Saccharomyces cerevisiae S288C: one gene and its partners. The gene in region 2 interacts genetically with the main gene of each other region. Each region holds a gene or a part of one and is shown on either strand. Other genes may lie near its edges. The genes, in order: RTT107, XRS2, YAP1 and RLF2.

The links.
Region 1: mutations in XRS2 (region 2) and RTT107 impair growth when combined (synthetic growth defect), as found in Saccharomyces cerevisiae (4 studies listed by BioGRID, with this or other methods).
Region 3: mutations in XRS2 (region 2) and YAP1 together harm fitness more than expected from each alone (negative genetic interaction), as found in Saccharomyces cerevisiae (3 studies listed by BioGRID, with this or other methods).
Region 4: mutations in XRS2 (region 2) and RLF2 together harm fitness more than expected from each alone (negative genetic interaction), as found in Saccharomyces cerevisiae (4 studies listed by BioGRID, with this or other methods).

Annotation. Positions count from the first base shown.
Region 1 is NC_001140.6:400,710-407,150, forward strand, and holds RTT107 (Rtt107p), read left to right. Parts: upstream 1-2,256; coding exon 2,257-5,469; downstream 5,470-6,441. Other genes in the region: MTC6 (Mtc6p), read right to left, coding at 1-139; SPO12 (Spo12p), read left to right, coding at 725-1,246; SPO16 (Spo16p), read right to left, coding at 1,377-1,973; LAM1 (Lam1p), read left to right, coding at 6,394-6,441. UniProt on the Saccharomyces cerevisiae protein: Required for resumption of chromosome replication after DNA damage, specifically in S phase. Is recruited to chromatin in the presence of RTT109 and RTT101 in response to stalled replication forks and acts as a scaffold during DNA repair.
Region 2 is NC_001136.10:1,214,127-1,219,990, forward strand, and holds XRS2 (Xrs2p), read right to left. Parts: upstream 3,455-5,864; coding exon 890-3,454; downstream 1-889. Other genes in the region: trifunctional aldehyde reductase/carbonyl reductase (NADPH)/glucose 1-dehydrogenase (NADP(+)) YPR1, read left to right, coding at 1-716; DXO1 (Dxo1p), read right to left, coding at 3,656-4,984; CTS2 (putative chitinase), read left to right, coding at 5,287-5,864. UniProt on the Saccharomyces cerevisiae protein: Component of the MRN complex, which plays a central role in double-strand break (DSB) repair, DNA recombination, maintenance of telomere integrity and meiosis.
Region 3 is NC_001145.3:252,075-257,276, reverse strand, and holds YAP1 (DNA-binding transcription factor YAP1), read right to left. Parts: upstream 3,430-5,202; coding exon 1,477-3,429; downstream 1-1,476. Other genes in the region: GIS4 (Gis4p), read left to right, coding at 1-1,185; MIN4 (Min4p), read left to right, coding at 4,005-4,115; ERG6 (sterol 24-C-methyltransferase), read left to right, coding at 4,287-5,202. UniProt on the Saccharomyces cerevisiae protein: Transcription activator involved in oxidative stress response and redox homeostasis.
Region 4 is NC_001148.4:592,441-597,517, forward strand, and holds RLF2 (Rlf2p), read left to right. Parts: upstream 1-2,035; coding exon 2,036-3,856; downstream 3,857-5,077. Other genes in the region: TIF6 (translation initiation factor 6), read right to left, coding at 1-629; guanine nucleotide exchange factor DSS4, read right to left, coding at 1,046-1,477; MCM DNA helicase complex subunit MCM4, read left to right, coding at 4,310-5,077.

The DNA of each region.
Region 1 (6,441 bases), on a different chromosome or scaffold from region 2:
TTTGAGGGGACATCGTCGGCCAGACAGATGCTGAAACGGTCTCATTCAGATCATCGCCAACTGTCGTAGTAGAGTCAACAGCAGTAACCCACGTTCGCAGTGAGGACCATATGATAAATAGGTATATGAGTATCCACATACCGTGTCTATAACGATGCGAATGCAAATGAACAAAAGAAAAAGGGAAGAATAGAATGGAGATAGTCTTTGAAAAAGCGAGGTTAAAAGCGACTAAAAAATACCAGCAAAAAGGTGACAAATAAAGTTAAACAGGGTGTATCTCACCGTGCAGCGAACACTTCAATGTGACTTGCTCAGCCAAAGACTCATCAACATTTATGGAAATTTCAATGATTCCCATTGTATTGCCTCTTCCCATTGTGGAAAAAAGAAAAATGCCAAAATTGCAAACCCTAATTTAAAAGGGTTACAGAAAAAAAAAAGCAGGTCTGAAATGCAGTTCGCCATGGTTAATATCTTTTCCTAATTTGGAAATATGTAAACAGGGCATCTTTCCTTTTTTTCTCCTAATGAAAATTGTAAGCAAAAGCATGAAACAATACTGCCACAAGAGGAGAATTCCTCCTTTTGAAGTCTAAAGCGCCATTTCAAACTAGTTTTTAGGAGGTCAGCCAAACGTTCATTCAGATTAGTTACTATCTTGGAATACTTCTAGTAGGAAAACAAAATAACATATACAGTAAGAACAATAGAAAACGTATTTATGTCCAACAAGGCAAGTGACCAATCAGCACGCACGGCTTCCATCCTCAAGACTGATATTACCAGAGAAAACACAATCACCAGAAGCAGCAGCAGCAACAACGACAACTACCATCACCACAATAACATCAATAATTACAATGAATCGGCGAAGACAGGAGAGGACGCCAATAAAGAGAATATACCTAATTTAGAGGAGGAGATTGCGGCCTTTCGAATTTTTAGGAAAAAAAGCACTTCAAACTTGAAGTCGTCACACACCACTAGCAATTTGGTAAAAAAGACAATGTTCAAAAGGGATCTTTTAAAACAGGATCCGAAGAGGAAACTCCAACTACAACAAAGATTTGCATCACCGACTGACAGGCTGGTATCACCATGCTCATTGAAATTGAATGAGCACAAAGTTAAGATGTTCGGAAAGAAAAAGAAAGTCAATCCTATGAAACTGAACTTTAAAGGCAACCTTGCTGCCGATTCAGAGGATGTAGAAATCGATGAAGATGAGGAGTATTTCTACTAAAAAAATCTGCCTTTCTAGTCATCCAAAAATAGCCAAATGCTACACTAAACCAATAAGCAAACGAGTACATAAAGAATAAGTAAATAATAATTCAACAATACCTGATTTTTTTTTTCTTACATTTTTTTTATTATTCATTAAAAGCAACCACCAAGCTTTCCAAATTATGAAACCTTGATAAAATGGCTTCAAAATCTTGATCTGGAATTCCGTTTTTTTTGAAGAGGTCGAAAATTATTTGCTTGATTAGAATTTCAAAATCAATAAACTCGTCCATATCCACGCTGTTCCGTGTCAAACGCTGGTTAGCTTTAAAAGCTAGAAAATATTGATTGTTTTCAACATATCGACTTCTGTCTACTGGTGTAACCTCTGTAATAAAGTAGCGGGCACCCGTTTTCGATGGTCCATTTATTAGATCTAGTGACCTCTCCAATAAGATATCCCAATAAGCTATTGAGAATTTCAAGCGCGTGAAATTCAAATTTATCATCAGAGAACGATGTGCGGGAACTCCAGGGCTTTTCTGTATTTTCTCATAGACATTATTTATCAGTAATTGCAGCTGTGTAACAATAAAATTGACGCCACTTTCTTCGTCTTGTAGCTCCTCGTTAAGCTGCGAAATTAACCTGCTCGTATTCACAGTAACACACTTAACCACAGAATGTTCTTCGACATTAGAAATCTCTTGTATTTTTTGTACATCCCAAAAGAATTCAGACATTTCTATTGAACCATTCCAGAAATGTTGTTCCAGAAGTTTATTCTCTTGAACCTTTACACTATTTCGTATTTTCTCGGTTTTAGCCGCCCACTTTTCACGCGTTAACAGGGTAAGCTATATCAGATGTGACTTTTCTTTTTCACTCATCTAATGTTGTTTTTCGCGTCACATTTTTTGCCAATAAATAAATACATCACAATGTTCTATATTGTATATTCAATGGAAGTCATTAGGTTATTGGGCAAGATTTCAAGGAGGTAGCATACTGGTAAATATACGATCCATGAGCACATCACTTCTGTTTGAGCAGCTAAATTTTTTAATTTTAGTGGCAGCAGAGGCTGAGCTTCCCATCGCTCACTCTACTAGAAAGCTTTTGATGGATAATTCATGCAATAACTGTCAAATATACGAGCTTTATAACGAAAATTTGAAAGATGTCAAGACGGATAAAGATTGGTTCATGAACAAATTCGGCCCGCAAACAGTACATTTTGTCATTAGTAATACAATCAACTTTCCTTTTTATAAGATAGTTTATTTCGATCTTTTGATCCCGGTGGTATCACACACTTGGGTCCAGGATTCGGTCAAGACGAAGAGACATTTGAGGACAAATATGTATTCACCTAACCCATTTCATTTGCTCCGAGACTGTCAAGTATATATTTCCAAAAGCTCGTTTAATAAGTGTGAATACATATTATACTCTGATTTGCTTCATTTATTAGGAGGCACTTTAGTCAATTACATCTCAAATAGAACGACGCATGTGATTGTTCAAAGTCCCCAGGACCCGATCATAGCAACGGTCAGTAAATTGACATTTGGCTCTTTTTCCTCTTCATCGACCAACAAGCACACCGAAAAGCCTTTGAGAGAGTGGAAATTTGTCTATCCAATATGGATATTATATCATTTCAAAATGGCGAAGCCCTTGAAGGGCGAGCTTGCTACTTTGTGTGAGCTTGATATGCAGGACACCAGTGAGGAACAGTTATTCGCAAAATGGGAAGAGGTTATTGGCGATAAGCAGACATCATCATCGCAGCTTACTCTTCATCCAAACAAAACTTTATTCAAAAATCACCACTTTGCTATCTCACCAGATTTAAACTTTTTCACACCTTTGTATTGGTTTTTGAAAGGATTTATCGAGGATTTGGACGGCAAAGTAACTCCGTTGAGTTTTTCTGACGATCTGAAGTCTGTTTACCAAGCTTTTCCTGATATTGACTGTTATATCGGCCACTCTGCTAACTCACCGATACTAGAAAAAACCAAAAGCATTAAACCGGAAATTCATGTTGGGAACGTAAGTTGGTTGTTTTATATGTTTGCGCTGCAAAAATTTACACCTGTATCGCAATGTAAACTTATTCACCAACCATTTCATGCGAAATTATTTACTTCTAAGGAATTAACAGTCGCGTACACTAATTATTTCGGCTCCCAAAGGTTTTATATTCAGAGGTTAGTAGAAATATTAGGAGGACTTAGCACACCTGAACTAACAAGAAAAAACACACACTTGATCACGAAGAGTACAATTGGCAAAAAATTCAAAGTCGCAAAAAAATGGTCACTGGACCCGCAAAATGCCATTATTGTGACAAATCATATGTGGTTAGAGCAATGTTATATGAATAATTCCAAGTTAAACCCCAAAGACAGTAGATTTCAAAATTTTAAATTGGATGATAACATGGGATGGAATATCGGCCAAATAGGAATGGATCATTCATCTCTCCCAACTCCAAAAAACCTATCGATGGTGACTTACGACACGCAATCCATATCAGAGAAGCCGCCTCCCACAAATGATCAAATGGATCAAATTAACGATAACACCAATGTATTATCAAAGAAAGATGGTACGCCCATTAGTAGTTTTGAGAACTCAATTGATGAAAAGATTGACAAATTACAAAAAATATCAGGAGAGGTGGCTGTAACCCATTCTGGAGATTTAGAACGGAGTTTTGTTTCCAGACCTTCAAGGGCAAGTTTTCCAGTAGTTGACAGTAAAAAATCTAATTTACAAAAGAAAGACTCAAACTCAGATATTAGTATGGAAACAGAGGTTTTCTGTGAAGGACATGAAAAAAGAGAAGAAAAGGAGTTTACGAAACCTATTACGGAGTATGATGCACCTAAGAAACAAGAAATAAGGGAACAGTCACGCAAGAAGAATGACATAGATTATAAAAAAGAAGAGGAAGAAACGGAGCTGCAAGTTCAGCTAGGACAACGAACTAAACGAGAGATCAAAACTTCGAAGAAAAATGAAAAGGAGAAAGAAACCAATGAATGTCACATTGAAGTAGATCAAATGACGAATGAAAAGCAAGGGGAGGAAAGTACAGGAAAACTGATTTCTACGGAAGACGTCACTTCTAAAAAAGATACAGATAAATTCTCGCATTTGTTTGAAGGATTATCTGATAATGATGATCACATTAATGACGAAAAACCGGCAGTTAATTCCAAATATACCACACCCAAGACGTCTCAAAATATTACGAGTGGCGTTGATACTCCAACCACCGCGCAAACGCAAGTTTTTATGCCATCAAGTGGCAATTCAAGGTTAGCAAAGACACAAGCTGCGAAGAGATTGCATACAGATATTGAATCATTAAATGAATTTCAGAAAAACTTTAAAAGGAAGAGAATTGATAGCGAGGAGATTTCATTGTCCCAAGATGTTGAAAGGTCAAATAATAACAAAGAACTGGCTACTAAAGCGGAAAAGATATTAGCTAGATTTAATGAACTACCAAATTATGACCTAAAAGCGGTTTGCACCGGTTGTTTCCATGATGGATTTAATGAGGTTGACATCGAAATATTGAACCAACTAGGTATAAAAATTTTTGACAATATTAAAGAAACGGATAAATTGAATTGTATTTTTGCTCCAAAGATTTTGAGAACCGAGAAATTTTTAAAAAGCTTAAGTTTTGAACCGTTAAAATTCGCATTGAAACCTGAATTTATTATTGATTTACTGAAACAAATTCATTCTAAAAAAGATAAACTTTCTCAAATAAATATAAACTTGTTTGATTATGAGATAAATGGAATTAATGAGAGTATAATATCAAAAACCAAACTACCTACTAAGGTGTTCGAAAGAGCGAATATTAGATGCATTAACTTAGTCAATGATATACCGGGTGGTGTAGATACAATAGGCTCTGTTCTAAAGGCACATGGTATCGAAAAAATCAACGTTTTACGTAGTAAGAAATGCACATTTGAAGACATAATCCCAAATGACGTTTCTAAGCAGGAAAACGGAGGCATTTTTAAATACGTACTTATCGTCACCAAAGCTTCACAGGTTAAAAAATTTACCAAACTGATTAATGATCGTGATAAAAACGAAACAATTTTGATTGTTGAATGGAATTGGTGTGTTGAATCAATTTTTCATCTCAATGTTGATTTTACATCAAAGAAAAATGTTTTGTATCAAAAGAAAAATAACTAAAAATGGACACTATATATTACGTCATCTGACATACGACACTGATAACAAATAAATATATAATAATTATAAAGATGCGTTGTAGAAAATCTTATGTTCAACAAACAACCCACATATGATTAACAGACCATTTTAAATGTCTAGTTAGAAACAATTATTTGGTACTGTCTTTGAATTAGATTGTTTAATAAAGCATTTCTAATATAGGATACAAAGGGTCAAATAGTACCGTGAGTAGAATCATTTATTCCACACTTTATCCGCAAACCTTTTAATTTTTCTACAATTTCATGGATAAAAACAGATTCATGGCCAGAATGCGTAAAGCAACTCTATTGTACAATTTTCCACTCTGAGATATTCACACAGCGGAGAGCCCTTCTACTCAATGCGTCAAGAACAATGTTCCAAACCTAGTGTATTTTAGGTATATTATTACGAGAGTATCCGCAATGTTAATGACGCAAAATTTAATGGCTCAAGCCAACTACTAACGTTAGTAAGAACTTTTTGATCTAATAATTAAACAGGTTACATCCATAGATTTACGTCAGAAATCTTAAATAATGTTTACATGCGAACAGTACCAAGATACATATATGTGGAGCGGATGAGAGATAAAATTGGGTTAAATGGGAAACATTACGGTATGATGCATAATTTTGAGTTTGGGCTTATTATCCTCGTGCGTATTGTATCGTCTCAATATGAGTGAAGATAAATCACCTATTACCCGAACTTTGAAGAGAACACTCTGAAAATTTGGTGAATAAGAAAGGGCTGTAGGTATTATTCGCGAAGCTTTCATTTATTGTAGTGAAAACTAGGGTGACAGAAGCTGATGGTCTGTTCTTCGATTTAGTACTGCCAATTTCAAGTTTTTCACTTCTATAGCTTTGGTATTGGTCATTGTAGAACAATTTTATAATGCATGAACACAAAGCGGAGCTACGGCTAATAACCGTTGCACTTAAC
Region 2 (5,864 bases):
AAATTTTTATTACTACTAAGCTTTGGGGTACGGAACAACGTGATCCGGAAGCTGCTCTAAACAAGTCTTTGAAAAGACTAGGCTTGGATTATGTTGACCTATATCTGATGCATTGGCCAGTGCCTTTGAAAACCGACAGAGTTACTGATGGTAACGTTCTGTGCATTCCAACATTAGAAGATGGCACTGTTGACATCGATACTAAGGAATGGAATTTTATCAAGACGTGGGAGTTGATGCAAGAGTTGCCAAAGACGGGCAAAACTAAAGCCGTTGGTGTCTCTAATTTTTCTATTAACAACATTAAAGAATTATTAGAATCTCCAAATAACAAGGTGGTACCAGCTACTAATCAAATTGAAATTCATCCATTGCTACCACAAGACGAATTGATTGCCTTTTGTAAGGAAAAGGGTATTGTTGTTGAAGCCTACTCACCATTTGGGAGTGCTAATGCTCCTTTACTAAAAGAGCAAGCAATTATTGATATGGCTAAAAAGCACGGCGTTGAGCCAGCACAGCTTATTATCAGTTGGAGTATTCAAAGAGGCTACGTTGTTCTGGCCAAATCGGTTAATCCTGAAAGAATTGTATCCAATTTTAAGATTTTCACTCTGCCTGAGGATGATTTCAAGACTATTAGTAACCTATCCAAAGTGCATGGTACAAAGAGAGTCGTTGATATGAAGTGGGGATCCTTCCCAATTTTCCAATGAGCGCGCTACATTACAGTTAATGCCTCCAGCAACCTGTAGTGCTTCTTTAAACCGATCCGATACAGCTGAAACAAACATTGATTTTACTAATTTTCATATAATATATACACATATATCGAATGATAATGCAAAATATAATTTAATGAAATTGGAAATACTCGGAAAATTTATCATTATCCTTTTCTTCTTTTGAACGTAAACTTCGGACCGTCGTCATCGTCGTCGTCGCCATCACCGTTATTAGAAGCCCCAAAAGAGCCACGTGATCTACTAGTTGCGCTTCTACTGTGTCTACTTTGCTTGGAACATTCTTCTGACAAGTTTGGCCGTAAGTTCATTTCCTTCACCACAAAAAGATTACGATTATTTTCTCTGTGATTTAGTCTATCGCTTTTATCATCAATATCACCCAGATCATCTTCATCAGTAATAAAAATTTTGTTTTTTAGTGGTTGAACGCTGGCTGCAGTACCTGAACAACGAGAAAAAGAAAACGAATCTTCTTCTCCTTCATTTGAACTATCCTCATTCGTGAATCTGTTTAGAGCTTGAGATCTTTTCTGGATAGTGTTTGAGTTTATATTATCGGACATAAATGTATTCGATCCAAATCTTTCCATCTCCGTCAAAGCAAACATATCTTCGTTTTCTTCTGTGCCCCATTTTGTAGTTGTATCCTTTTTGGAGTATTTTTTTAACGGAACATAATTTCTAGTGATTAAAAAGGCTGCATTTCGTATAAAATCTGAGCTTTGAGTGTTATTTTTACCCTCTTCTTTGTGCGCCTTTGATTTTGGACGTACCTTGACAAAAGTCTTGAAATTCTTGCGTTTATGCCATTCTGGCTCCATTAGGCTATTTTCCCATTTTTCAGTTGTTCTGCTTGTTTTGTTTCCCTCACTATCAAATGATTTCCTCAGTAAATTGTTACTAGGTTCTACAATAGCCAAATTTTTTAGCTGATTAATAGCTTCCTCGCTCAACTCCTCATCCTTCAATTCAACAATGGTTGACTTAACTCTTTTGACCTCTCTATTTTTAGTTTCTTGAATAGCTTCAACAAATGCGTGCGGCGTACCAGATTTCTCTTTAATAGATAACTCTTTTACAGGTGACTTACAATTTTCTTGTAATGGAGATGAAATTTCTCGTGAATAATTAGAAAGTTTACGGATGTTTTTAGAGGGTTGCTCTATATTCTGGTGATGATTCACCCTAAAATTCTTAGTAACTTCAGCATCATCCATCGAATTCACAGCAGCTGTTTCATAGTCAGCGGAGTTCGAAGATATGGTTTGAGAGCCAATCCCTGCTACCTCCGGCAATGACGGCTGTGGTAACTTATGTGACTGTAGCGACTTATCCAACGAATCCTCACTCGTGTTCACAGTACCTAAGTTGGGGCTACTGACAATTATAGCACCAGGGCTACTGTGACCACTTTTCTTTCCAATATCTTCAGTCGGCTTTAGTGCGTTTTGAAGAAATGGGGCGTGCTTTTCATCTGCCTCTGCAATGTTGGGACTTGAAATGACAGTCTTTGATTCTGCGCCACAATTAAGTCTCTTAGCGTCAGTTAAAGACCTATTTTCTGATAGAGTCTTAGTACTCAAACCTCCAGCAAAAAAATCAAGACTATCGAGTGGTAGTACTCTACGTCTATTTAATTTTCGCTTCTTCGAGACTACTGGACTAGCTTCAACTTCAGGTGCACGAGATGTTTTCAAAATAGTAGACATTCCTTCAGAAATTTGATCAAATTTACCGTTATCTAGAGTTCTTGAAGATGCACCCTTCATATTAATCACTGCGCTTAAGGTGCCATCTATTATTGATGTTAACATCGTTTTGATAGTACATAGAATTTTCCCATTTTCTTTCTTATCTGTAGTTGTCAAAATCAGGTATTCTGTTGATGCTTCCAAGCTGTCAACATATTTATATAAACTATCAATGTTGTCAAATGCAAATAAATTTATATTGAACGTCCGCAGGAGAGATGATAGACGTGGTTCACTTTTGATAGTAGTTAACACTCTGATATTATTCAGCCTCATAAACTTCGAAAGCAAAATATTTGGATCAAAATCAAAAACATTGTACTCCGGATTACTAATCATATCGTTCCACATTTCATCAAATTTTAAATTAGTTTTAGATGTGGGAAGAAGAGTATTACACAATTCCATCAGAAACCGTGATTTTTTCATGGGTATAGTACTAACAAGGGCATACAATTCCCGTATGCTGTTGTCCTCGCTCTTTGGGTAATCGCTAATCATCAGATTAGCGGGAATATCATTAATAGAAATCTCAGTGGAGATACCATATTCAGAAAGCATCGTCCTGAATTGTGTCAAATGAGGAGGAATGTTCCAGACTTCATTTATCCATTCGAACTCTATACGAATAGGAGTTGTACCCAGTTCAATTATTGTGGACTTTAAAACGTCCGAGGCATTAATAGTAAATGTTTCGCCAACTTTCATGAATTTTTTATTTAATGATGTCAATTTACCCTTGTTAACTAAACACAGGCTACTGTGTTTCAGATCCGAACTATTATTGATTTCCCATTTGAATGTGATATGCTGTCTGGAAATACTTTTATCATTTTTAATTATCAGTGGGTTTTTACTTGATCTACCTATACTATAAGTTTTGAAGGCCTGAAGACAACATGATATAAAGCTAATAGAGCCATCTTCCAATGTATTCTGGTATCGTACTACCCACATAAATTTATAGTTATCACCTTCTCAGTATTGTTGCTCATCTATTACAAAATTCTGCTTATTTGGTTTACGCATTGCTTTTCATAGAAAAAAAGGGCTCCCCATATAAATTTAAGAAAAGTACTAATATTTAGCGTAGTTAACAACTTTACGAAAATGAAAATGAAATATTTCTCGGAAAAGTATTATATATTATACACGTCTCTACATTCCAAATAATTCTACGTTTCTTGGAGTAGTCTTAAGTTTAGTGATGACGATGGCGTTGTTAGTATCTATACCGATTTCAAATGATTCTGGTTTTGTACTGCTATAGTCAGAGATATTTGCCTCCACCAGCTTACAAATTGCTTCAATACAATAATGACACCATTCTACCGCAATTTGGGCATTATAGTTAAGTTCCTTTTTATTTGTAGGTAGACCTGGGTGATTGAATTTCTTACATAATAAGTCCCTTGAGTACCATTGAATGTCTAGTAATTGACCGCTATGACTGTCCCTCAAACCTATCATGATATCTGAGTTCGGTAATAAACCCGTCTGTACCCACGTTTTCAGAAGTTTTCTCCTATGATTGGAATTGTGCATTGATAATGGGGCAAAACACTTTAGTTCTGTGTTTGTCTCCGAAACAGGATTGAATGCATCCATTTCGCAGCGAATTAAAAGACCAATTTCTTCTGAAAGTTTACTCTCTACAAGAGAAAAAATAGGACATTTAGAGCCAGTTAAATCAGCGACTTTGGAATTTTCGGTTACCCAATTTTCAAATTCAAATCCTGAATAGCAAATTTTCTTCATATTTGGATCATTTGAATAAATGCCCTCTTTGGACATTTGAGAATCTTTTTTTACATTTCTGCAAAATGAAAGAAGGCCCGCCCCCATATAAGTTACAATTAGTGACGTTTGTCTATTTCGCCTGTTAAAGAGATGCATAGTCAAATCTACGATATGATGTCTTGTGGTTACAACAGTAAATTTCTTGCCGATCTTAAAATCCTTACCAGGATTATCTAGTATCCAGTTCTCAATGTATGAAAAACACGGTGATACACTATCTAATTCGGATATTGTCATGGGAACGAACTCATCAATATTAGCAAATAAGTCATGGCCTAAATACGGGACTTTCCGCTTTTTTGCCTCAAGAAGCGAGCTTTCATACAATTCAGCAATACTTTCTTTCAAATTTGGTATAAGGTCTTTGCGTAGGATTGTATAAGCCCGGCCATTGGTAAACAGAGCTACTTCTTTACTTTCATGAAATATATCTCTTGGTGGTTTCGTCAAAAAATTGTGCATACCAGTATGCAGAAAAGACGTATATGGGATACATATAAGTTTCGGACGTCTCTTTCTATAATTGTCTCTCTGTTGTGAAGGCTTCCTTGACGAAGATGAATCAGAAGTAGTTTTCTCTTTGCATAATTTACTTTGGTGTCCTCTCTCGAGATTGGGCACAGTAAGCAAATTTATACCTTCTAAATCTTTGGCCAATCCAAGAACAGCATCTTGTTCAGTTGACATAACTGAGTTTGGCTAGAAAGAAAACTTTGACATAAAATCATCGATACCTACAACTGGCGCTGTAATGCAACAATGCCATTATAAAAGTAAAACATGCTGCGAAAATTGCGGAAAAACTGGAAAAATCAATAGTGGGGTAATCCCAGTTAGTTTGACACAATAATTTGGTGATTTTGGTGGAATAATCATTATTTGTGAGGATACACCAACGAAAAGAACCTTTTGTGGTAGTATGGTCCAACAATTGTATTTGCAGGTTGGTACTAACAACCTCTATAAGTAGACGATACAAGAGTGATCATATGGTAGGACACTCAGCTCAGCACAGATCAAAAAGCAGCTTAGTGTCTCACCTACTAATACTACTTATCTTTATAACGATTATTATTGAAATGTGTTTATATAATAAAATTTTTAAGAACCAAAGGTCGGATGATATTAGAGACAACTTTAACAATGGCGGACATCGAGTTCCCAGTAATGTCCAAAATCATGGAACCCATATAAGAGACGAAGCCTTTATATCAGGGGTCTATTATTCCAATTGGTCCCCATACAAACCGAGGTTTCATTTCCCTCACGACATAAACTTGAAGCAAGTGTCTCACATTTACTATGCATTTTTCAAAATAAACTCTAGAACTGGTGGTATAGAAAACACGGATAGTTGGTCTGATCTAGAAATGAATTTGTATAAATCGCTGGCAATTAAAAATTCAGAACTAATTAAAGAAAGCTCGAACAATAGTGTCCAAAACATCCTACCCTTAGGTTGCATTGGTGAACTATTTTATTTGAAGAATACCTGTTCTGATAAGAAATTTAAAGTTATCATGTCAATTGGGGGCTGGTCTGATAGTGAAAATTTCAAAATCATAAT
Region 3 (5,202 bases), on a different chromosome or scaffold from region 2:
ATAACGAGTTCTATAGACAATTTAACTACTTCGACAACCCCAGAGGAGGAGGATAATTTAATTCATCATAACTATGACGCCCAAGGGTATGGATCAGGAGAGGACGATGGAGAAGAGGTTTATGATGATGAAGATCTTTCTTCTTCCGATTACTCAGTACTATCCATTCTACCGTCAATCTCAATTTGTGATTCTCTAGGGTATTTTAGGCTAGTTTTGCAATCTATATTAATTCAGGATCCAGACACCAAAGAAATTTTTACTGCGATTAGACAGTCAAACAATAAACCTACAATGGCAAGCGTTACCGATGATTGGTTGCTGTATGATTCCAATTTTTCAATGAATAATTTACAAATTCTAACACTTCAAGATTTGCTAGATATCAAGAGATCATTTCCAAAAATTTTATTTTACACAATGGTTATTGTGACAAACTCCGGCAAACAGGTTGAAGAAGAATTCAAAAATCCCAATTATGATAATAGGGAAGGAATATCAAAAGAGCAACCTCTAGATTCTGAGTTATCATTAACTAACGACCCGCAACAATATTTCCCGACTGCATATAATAACGGTTACAACGACTATATTGACGATGAAGACGATGAAGACGATGGTGACGATGCTTCTTTATCAGAACAGTCAGGCCCACAAATGTACATACCAACTAGAATGGAATCTAACGTTACTACAGCACATCGTTCTATTAGAACCGTAAACAGTATCGGGGAATGGGCATTCAATAGACATAATTCTGTTACAAAAATCGATAAAAGTAATAGTAACGAGTTGGATAACTCTAAAACAGGTGAAAGTACAGTTTTATCAAGTGAACCTCATCCAATGACACAACTGTCGAACTCTAATACGACTTCCTCGAATTTTAGCCATTCTTTGAAGACAAAAAATTCTCACAAACCTAATTCCAAGGGTAACAATGAAAGTAATTCCAAAAATGAGTTGAAAAAGATAAAGAGTTCCATCAATGCTATGAGTGCCGTGGAAAGGTCCAAAAGTTTGCCTTTACCTACATTACTAAAGTCTTTAAGCGGCATAGATAACCCTACTCATGCCACTAACAAGGATAGAAAGCGTTGGAAATTCCAGATGAATAGGTTTAAGAATCATAAAAACAGTGGTTCTGCAGGTACGGATAAATCTCAGCGTTGTGCCATCATGTAAAGAATACTTTACCACTATATATAGATATATATATATACTTGTATTATAATTATAATCATTATTGGTACTATTGCACTTACCAGTTTCTATATTGACATTGAAGGTGATACAGAGAATTCATACATAGTCTAAATATATTTAAAGTATAGGTTGTGTACATAAAAAAATACCGAGGTGATACAATCTACCTACTTTCGGCGAAAAGGCGAAGCAAGGTAAGTTAAAAAAGTTTAATTGTAACATTATAGAAAAAGTTCTTTCGGTTACCCAGTTTTCCATAAAGTTCCCGCTTTAGTTCATATGCTTATTCAAAGCTAATTGAACGTCTTCTGCATTGATGACAACCCCTCTTTCTGAACATTTTGCCTTTGCCATTAGCTCGGAACATAAACCATCGACATCAATATCTGAGTATTTCGGATGTGTTGTTATTCTATCCCAAATTTCCGAACACCTTAGTAAAGAGCCTTCCTTAGATGGAACGACATCATTATCATTATCGTTATCATTGCCATTATTGATTTTGTCAGCATTCTGTAAACTACTGCCATTTTTTTGTGAGATTTCGCTTTCATTTCCTGGTACCGATTGTAGATATTGTTTCGGAAGCTCTGGTTCTTCGTTAATTAACTGGTTCTTGATTAAACTTGACTCATCGTCTGACATATTAGCGGCTTTTTTGTCATCATCGTCATCCTCTAAAAACTCTCCAAATAAATTGTTACCTTCCTTCGATGAATCTCTAAAAAACATGTCGTAGTCAAACTTATTTTGAGATTGAGATTCAGAGAAAGGTTGTAATTGAATATTAGTTGAATTGTCGTCTGGGAAAGCCAGATTTGCGTTGATAAAAGGTATATCCTCTTTGCTGCTTTGCAGTAGGCTGGGATTGGTGTTAGAGGCAGCATTATTGCCGATGCCGGTAGATCCCGGACTAAAAAAATTAGTAACTTGGTTCATATCAAACGGTGACTCGGATATGAATGGGAGTACATCATCGCTATTATTATTGTTCTTTTTGTTCTTATTGCCAGTGCTACCAGTGCTATCAGTGCTACCAGTGCTATTATCATTCACGACGTAATGATTGGCACTCATATCGAAACCAAGTCGGCCAAAACCGGAGAAGGAATTTTCATATTTAGTAGCATCAGTAGCAATGACATTAGCAGGAGTATTATCTGTAATATTAGAATGTGATTCCCAAGTATTTGTTAAAGCAGGAGAATTTGAACTTAGTATAGAAGATGACGCGAAAACTTCTTTATCAAGAGCCGAGATGGGTTTCTTGGGAATGGGACATTGCCTTGTTCCACATACCTGGTTCATTTTCGAACAAAACTCCGAAACTTGTTCATCAAATTGGTTTTCAAAATTAAAGTCATTAGAAAACATATTACTGTCTAAATTCTTAGTTTTACTATTGCTGCCATCATCACCTGACACAAACCTGTTAGTATATATTACATTATCTAACCAATCCATCGAAGTGGAGGAGTTTGGTGTGTTATTAAGAACATCGTTACTATTTGAAAGGGAATCCAAAGTAGCGCTGGAGGAATCTGTAGCGTCACTTAATTTCTTTTGTGTCTGATTTATAGGCATAGGAGCCGAATGACTTGGATCATTTGGTGAAGGTAATTGTTTCCCCACATTTTTACTGTTGTCGTTGTCGTTGTCGTTATCAAGCGGATATTGAAACGTGAAATTCATCTTTTGTTTAACATTTTCTTGTATGTCATCATTGGGTGTGTCAATTGGCTCGCTATTGCTGTGGTTAACGTTATTTTTTGAAAAATGCAAATTAGGATCTCGCCTTGCTAAATATTCCAGCACTTTTGAGTCATTTCTTGTCTCTGGTCTATATTTTTTTAACTCATTCACCAGAGTGATTAACTGGTCCCTCAAAAAAGTAGCTTCCACTTCATTTTGCTGCTGAATACTCTCTAAACTTTGTACCTTCTTCTCCAATTCCTTCATCTTCCTCTCCTTACGTTCCCTAAAAGCTCTTTGAGCGGCCCGATTTTGGGCAGTCCTCTTCTGCTTAGTTTCAGGATCCAAATCTTGCTTTTTGCTAGTTTTGCTACCCTTCTTCTTCGGTTGCTCGCTATCCTCGCCATCACGTGTACCAGTACGTCTATGTTCATTTTCTATTTCATCGTGACGAGATTTTGAACCCTCAAACTCCGCTAATGAACCCGGAGAAACGACATCCAGCGACCTCTTGGCGGTAGACACACTCATGGTTTAAGAAACAACTTTTCCTTCTTTAAACGTTTTGGGTGGCAAAAAACTTCCCTTAAACAAACTAAAAATGGCTCGTGTTCATGCACAAGTCAACCAGGGGCTCAGGAAAAAAAGCTAAACACCAATCCTATATATAACGTAAAGGTACTGTGCTTAATCGGTAAACGGAAGACTATTAAGCAAATGTATCTCTTAAGACCTTACGCATCCATCAGTTGCCACCCTCCTACTCTTCATCGGAGGGTTTCCGGTTCCCATGACAAAGACGGCGCTTTGGCGGGGCCCAAATTGTTACCCGCACCCAGAAAAAGAAAAGAGTAACCTAGGTCAAATCAACCAAACAGCTAGGGCTGGTTACTATTTTTGAAAAGATGCAACAGGGTAAGATCAGCAAAATTTAGGGCCGAACAAAGCCCCGATCTTCGTATATGGTACCTCGTTCCCGTACTTATTTTCAATTTTTGGCGTCGTTTACTGCCGTTTCCGATAAATACAAAAAAGTTTTCGAGAAGCGAGAGTAAGTGAGGAGCAGACAATGTATTATTCACTGTAAACTGCTCCACTTCGTCTCAATGGTACACTTCATTTTTATCGCCTTACGAAGCATGCGTTTTATGCGAAGATTGGTGAGAAACCTCCAATACTTGCTGTTGCCGATAACTTCTTCATTGCTTTTTATATAGTTCGGGTGTTTTCTCCTATCCTCTGCTGCTCTCTTTTTCTTTCCATTCGTCTTTGTAATTTATAAGCTGTTAATTTTCATTCAAGTTTCCCTTATCTGTTTTACTTTCGATTTAAGTTTTACATAATTTAAAAAAACAAGAATAAAATAATAATATAGTAGGCAGCATAAGATGAGTGAAACAGAATTGAGAAAAAGACAGGCCCAATTCACTAGGGAGTTACATGGTGATGATATTGGTAAAAAGACAGGTTTGAGTGCATTGATGTCGAAGAACAACTCTGCCCAAAAGGAAGCCGTTCAGAAGTACTTGAGAAATTGGGATGGTAGAACCGATAAAGATGCCGAAGAACGTCGTCTTGAGGATTATAATGAAGCCACACATTCCTACTATAACGTCGTTACAGATTTCTATGAATATGGTTGGGGTTCCTCTTTCCATTTCAGCAGATTTTATAAAGGTGAGAGTTTCGCTGCCTCGATAGCAAGACATGAACATTATTTAGCTTACAAGGCTGGTATTCAAAGAGGCGATTTAGTTCTCGACGTTGGTTGTGGTGTTGGGGGCCCAGCAAGAGAGATTGCAAGATTTACCGGTTGTAACGTCATCGGTCTAAACAATAACGATTACCAAATTGCCAAGGCAAAATATTACGCTAAAAAATACAATTTGAGTGACCAAATGGACTTTGTAAAGGGTGATTTCATGAAAATGGATTTCGAAGAAAACACTTTCGACAAAGTTTATGCAATTGAGGCCACATGTCACGCTCCAAAATTAGAAGGTGTATACAGCGAAATCTACAAGGTTTTGAAACCGGGTGGTACCTTTGCTGTTTACGAATGGGTAATGACTGATAAATATGACGAAAACAATCCTGAACATAGAAAGATCGCTTATGAAATTGAACTAGGTGATGGTATCCCAAAGATGTTCCATGTCGACGTGGCTAGGAAAGCATTGAAGAACTGTGGTTTCGAAGTCCTCGTTAGCGAAGACCTGGCGGACAATGATGATGAAATCCCTTGGTATTACCCATTAACTGGTGAGTGGAAGTACGTTCAAAACTTAGCTAATTTGGCCACAT
Region 4 (5,077 bases), on a different chromosome or scaffold from region 2:
GTATCCAGACCTGTAACTGCCAAGTAATCGTTCACAACCATACCGGCACCGACAACTGAACTACCACGGTTAACGGTACCAGCCACCAAAGGAACTTGTAATAAGGAGGACAATTCTTCTTGATCTTGGACACTTGTTTGTGGATGCACTAACCCACCTTGATTACTTAAAGAACAATATGACCCAACTAAGATATTACCTGATATGGTTTGACGGAAGACCTCAACGCCTAGTACATCACTTATCAATTCTTCAGTTTCTCTGTCGATATCTGGATGCACTAAAGCAACGTAATCATTACAACAGATGACGTTACCCAAGGCAGATAGTCTTTCCTCTACCCTTTGAATCTTAACGGAATCCGGCAAACTATTTCTTAAATGTTGTAATTCTTGATCAGTAGTTTGGGTTGGAACTAGCAGACCTCTACGGTTACCCGCGGTCATTCTACCGATGATACGCGTACCAGCAATAGTGGTATGAACGATGGGAATAGCATCTCCTAATTCAGCTTCAAATGCAGAGTAAAAGTTTTCAGAACCACCAACAGCAACCAAACAGTAAGTATTCGTTAATTTGGAGAATACACCGATTTCATTGGAGTTTTCAAATTGAGTCCTGGTAGCCATTATTGTTTTCTAGAGTTAGTTGAATTATGCTCTTGTTCCAAATACTCTGTCGTATTGCTTCTTGTAATTATACTATAAGACCAACGAGGGATGAGGCTTCTTTTAATTATGCAATATTGAATATTGCGTTACATACAGTAAAAGAAAAAATCTGCACAAAGGAATATGGGTTTAAATCTTTAATTAATAAAAATTTTCCGAAAATTTTCGTTTGGCCCTCGGAAAAAACGGGTAATGCTCATCCATTAGGATTTCGTCCAGAATGCCTATATTATTACATAAAGTGATGCTAGTAATGTAAACCAGAACTACTTCTATAGCTTGTTATAGGTGGCCCATGCCAGTGAAATAGGTGGTTGGTTACTCTTTTTTTTTTCTGGTGGCGGCAACCTATTTTTGTTCTAGTGCCTACCAAACTAATTCCTTCCCATAATTTGAAGGCTTCGCAAGCTTAGTAGATGCAAAACTCTTTCTTCATTCTTTGTCTGATCTTGCACCTTACATATTATTCCAATAGGACCTTTATCACAATCAGCGCATATCAAATATTTCAAGCACTTTTTAATCTTCCAGCTGGAATTACCATACTCAAAGACAAAATCACTCTTATCACTCAAATCCCCTAATATAGAAGAAGGAATTTCTCTAGATACACCAACATTATCAAAGTCCCAAACATCAGGGACGACCAAGAAGTTGCTCTCGCTGGGGGTAGCATCTCGCATAGTTCTGTTTTCCAGCAACTTGAATTCGCTGTGCACCTGCTCTGGTAAGTTTATTATGTTATCATCGTTGATGGTAATAACTGCACTATGACAGCCCTCAAAGGAACACGTAGCCTTGCTCATGTTCTCTGTTATTCCCCCATTTTTCCAGCCCTTTTAATTGAACTTTCTACTCATACCAGTCAAGTTTTTGATATGTACTTCATTAATTAAAATGATCGATATATAATCGTTCAGTACGACAATGACGATATTCACAGTACTACTAAACTAGCGGGTCCCCGGCGCCCAGTCAGCCTTTACGAAGAGAAAGGAAGAATGATATGGATATGCTGAAAAGTATTTTGATACAGAAGAAGGGAGTTTTGAGTTGTCGGGCTCATCGTGCTGGATCAAGTGGTTCCCTACCTGGCGCGATCTATAGTGTCAGACGGCTTGCATATATGCTCACGCGTTCGGACGCGTGAAAGGCTTCAACTGAAAAAAAGAAAGATCTACATCGTTAAACCAAAAGGTTTGCGAACTGACTAAAAAATAAAATTCTTATTGGTTCCACTTCTTGAAATACATCATTTTTCCAGCCAATTCGTTGAGGAGAAGAACATTCTGTTATTGCTGTTACAGAGAATTATATGTTTTAGTGAACCTCAAGACAGAAGAGAATCGAAAGGAAAAGGGAAAATGGAGCAACATCTCAAATCAATTCCTCTACAGGACGACACTAAGAAAAAAGGCATACTATCTTTTTTCCAGAATACAACTACGGTAAAGAGTAATAAGTTTCTCACGAAAGAGAAGGATGTCATCACTCTAGATGATCCTAAAGAGGATGTCAGTGGACCTATGATAGAAACTGTTAAACAAGAAACCATGAAAAGCATCAATAAAGAGTGTGCAGATGAAATGAAAACGACACCTAAGAAGGCCAATGCTGAAGACAAGCTTTTATGCTACAAAAATTCACCCATACAAAGTACAAAATACGATAGAAACACCAACAAACAAGTACCCAATGGAAATATAATAGCTATCGAGACAAAAAGCAGAAGCTCTTCTCCATGCTCTAAGAGAGAACTTTCCTCATCGAAAAAGGAAGAAGCTAAAAGAGAAAAGGAACTAAAAAAGCAGCAACGTGCAGAAGAGAAACACAGAAAAGAGTTATTACGACAAGAAGAGAAAAAGAAAAAAGAGCTAAAGGTAGAAGAGGAAAGACAAAGGCGTGCTGAGCTGAAAAAGCAAAAGGAAGAGGAAAAGCGTAGAAAGGAAGAAGCCAGATTAGAAGCCAAAAGAAGAAAAGAGGAGGAAAGATTGAAAAAGGAGGAGGAAATACGTTTGAAAGAAGAAGCCAAGGAAAGAGCACAATCCCGTATTGGTAACTTCTTTAAAAAACTAAGCGATTCTAATACGCCTGTGGTTGAAAAGTCGGATTATGAAAAATTTTTTCTACCTTTCTATGCTAAAGATGGAGTTAGAGTCAGTAATAAGTGGAAACTAACAAAAGTGGAGCTGGAAGGTAGCAAAAGAAAAATAGATGATGAATTACTGAACAGTAAAGATAAAACAAGTAGTGACGACTTATTGAATTGGTTACAGTCTAGAAGATTACCTAGAGGACATAAAATTAAACGTAAAGCTGTTGACGTTCTACAGCAAATGCCTTTGAAGGAGAAAACAGACGATGAGCTCCAATCTTTACTTGCACAAGTTCCGCACAAATATATAAAATTCTACGAAAATGTTAGACCTCCGTTTATCGGAACCTATTCTATGGACTTTACTTTGCCACCAAACGATCCCTTTTCTACGAAAGGTACTGGATTCAATTATGATTACGATTCTGACGTTGAATGGGTTAATGAAGAAGAAGAAGGCGAAGTCGATAACTTAGAAAGTGGTGAAGAGGAGGAGGAGGAGGAAGATGATGAAGACGTACCTAGCGAAGGAGAGTTTGACGGGTTTCTAGACAGCGAAGAAAACAGTGATTTGGATGGCCTACCCTGCGCCAAGAGAAAATTTGTAGGCCCATTGATACCAACAATATGCCTAAAATCCAATTTTGAAAACTTATCAGAGGAAAATAAACGATACTTACAACAACTCAAGGCCGAAGTTATCATAGAAACCGACGGGCCAATCGATCCATTCAAAGAACCCAAAACATCGTCTCTACCATCCAAAAGAAGTAATTCCGACTTACAGGCACAGACCGCTAGCCAATCTCAAAGTCCCGAAAAGAAACAAAAAGCAATGATTACAGACCCCATGGACTTACTTCGACTTTTTGATGGGGTTCAAGACAGCACGTTTTCTTTGGGTACTGTGACTGAAATAGCACAGAAAAATTTGCCGCAATACAACAAACAAACAATTAAAAACACCATAAAGGAATATGCCATAAGAAGTTCTGGAAAGGGTGATTTGCCCCGCAAATGGGTAATCAAAGACGCACAAAACTGGGAGAATCTTCGAGCCAATGCAAATATGCCAACCCCGTCTTTGTAACTTGAACGGATCTTTAGTATATAGAAACATACAGATAAACTGATTATTTATTGGTATACATGAAAAAGGCGACAACACTACGATCGACAGTCAAGCCTTTTGGACTTTGAATAAAATCCAGCACTTCTCGCATGCAACAAAAGAAAATCTTCTATATAAGCTGAACTACATTTATCTGTGTCAGCCAACTGCATGTTTTATATCACTTCTTTTTGGAATATTACGAGTAGATTCATGAAAACGCAAACACTTGGTTTACTCTTTCGGGAAATTTAATGCTAGTTCGCCGCCTCGAAAATGAAAAGAGAAGAAGAGACCAGAAGAGCAACTTCGCATTGGCACTGTTTATTTCTTTAAGAACATCTTCAATACTAAATAAGACAACCCATCTTCAGTTATTTTTACTCTTGGTAGAGCCCAACTTAGGATCCTTTTGAACCTCAAGAACTTAAAATGTCTCAACAGTCTAGCTCTCCAACAAAAGAGGATAATAACTCCAGCTCCCCCGTTGTGCCTAATCCTGATTCTGTTCCACCACAGCTTTCTTCCCCAGCTCTATTTTATAGCTCCTCTTCATCACAAGGTGATATCTATGGTCGCAACAATAGCCAGAACTTAAGTCAGGGAGAGGGAAACATCAGAGCTGCTATAGGTTCTTCTCCACTAAATTTTCCATCTTCTTCCCAAAGACAAAATTCCGATGTTTTCCAATCTCAAGGCAGACAGGGCAGAATTCGTTCTTCTGCGAGCGCTTCTGGAAGGTCTAGATATCATTCTGATCTGAGAAGTGATAGAGCACTGCCTACTTCTTCCTCTTCTTTAGGCCGTAATGGTCAAAACCGTGTACACATGCGAAGAAATGATATTCATACATCTGATTTATCCTCTCCAAGAAGAATTGTGGATTTTGATACTAGATCCGGCGTGAATACTTTGGATACTTCTTCTTCTTCTGCTCCTCCATCGGAAGCCAGTGAACCCTTGAGAATAATTTGGGGTACCAACGTCAGTATCCAGGAATGTACAACTAATTTTCGTAATTTTTTGATGTCTTTCAAGTATAAATTCCGTAAAATATTGGATGAAAGGGAGGAATTCATTAACAATACTACCGACGAAGAACTATACTATATCAAGCAGCTTAATGAAATGAGAGAACTTGGTACCTCTAATTTAAACTTGGATGCTAGAAACTTACTTGCTTACAAGCAAACAGAAGAC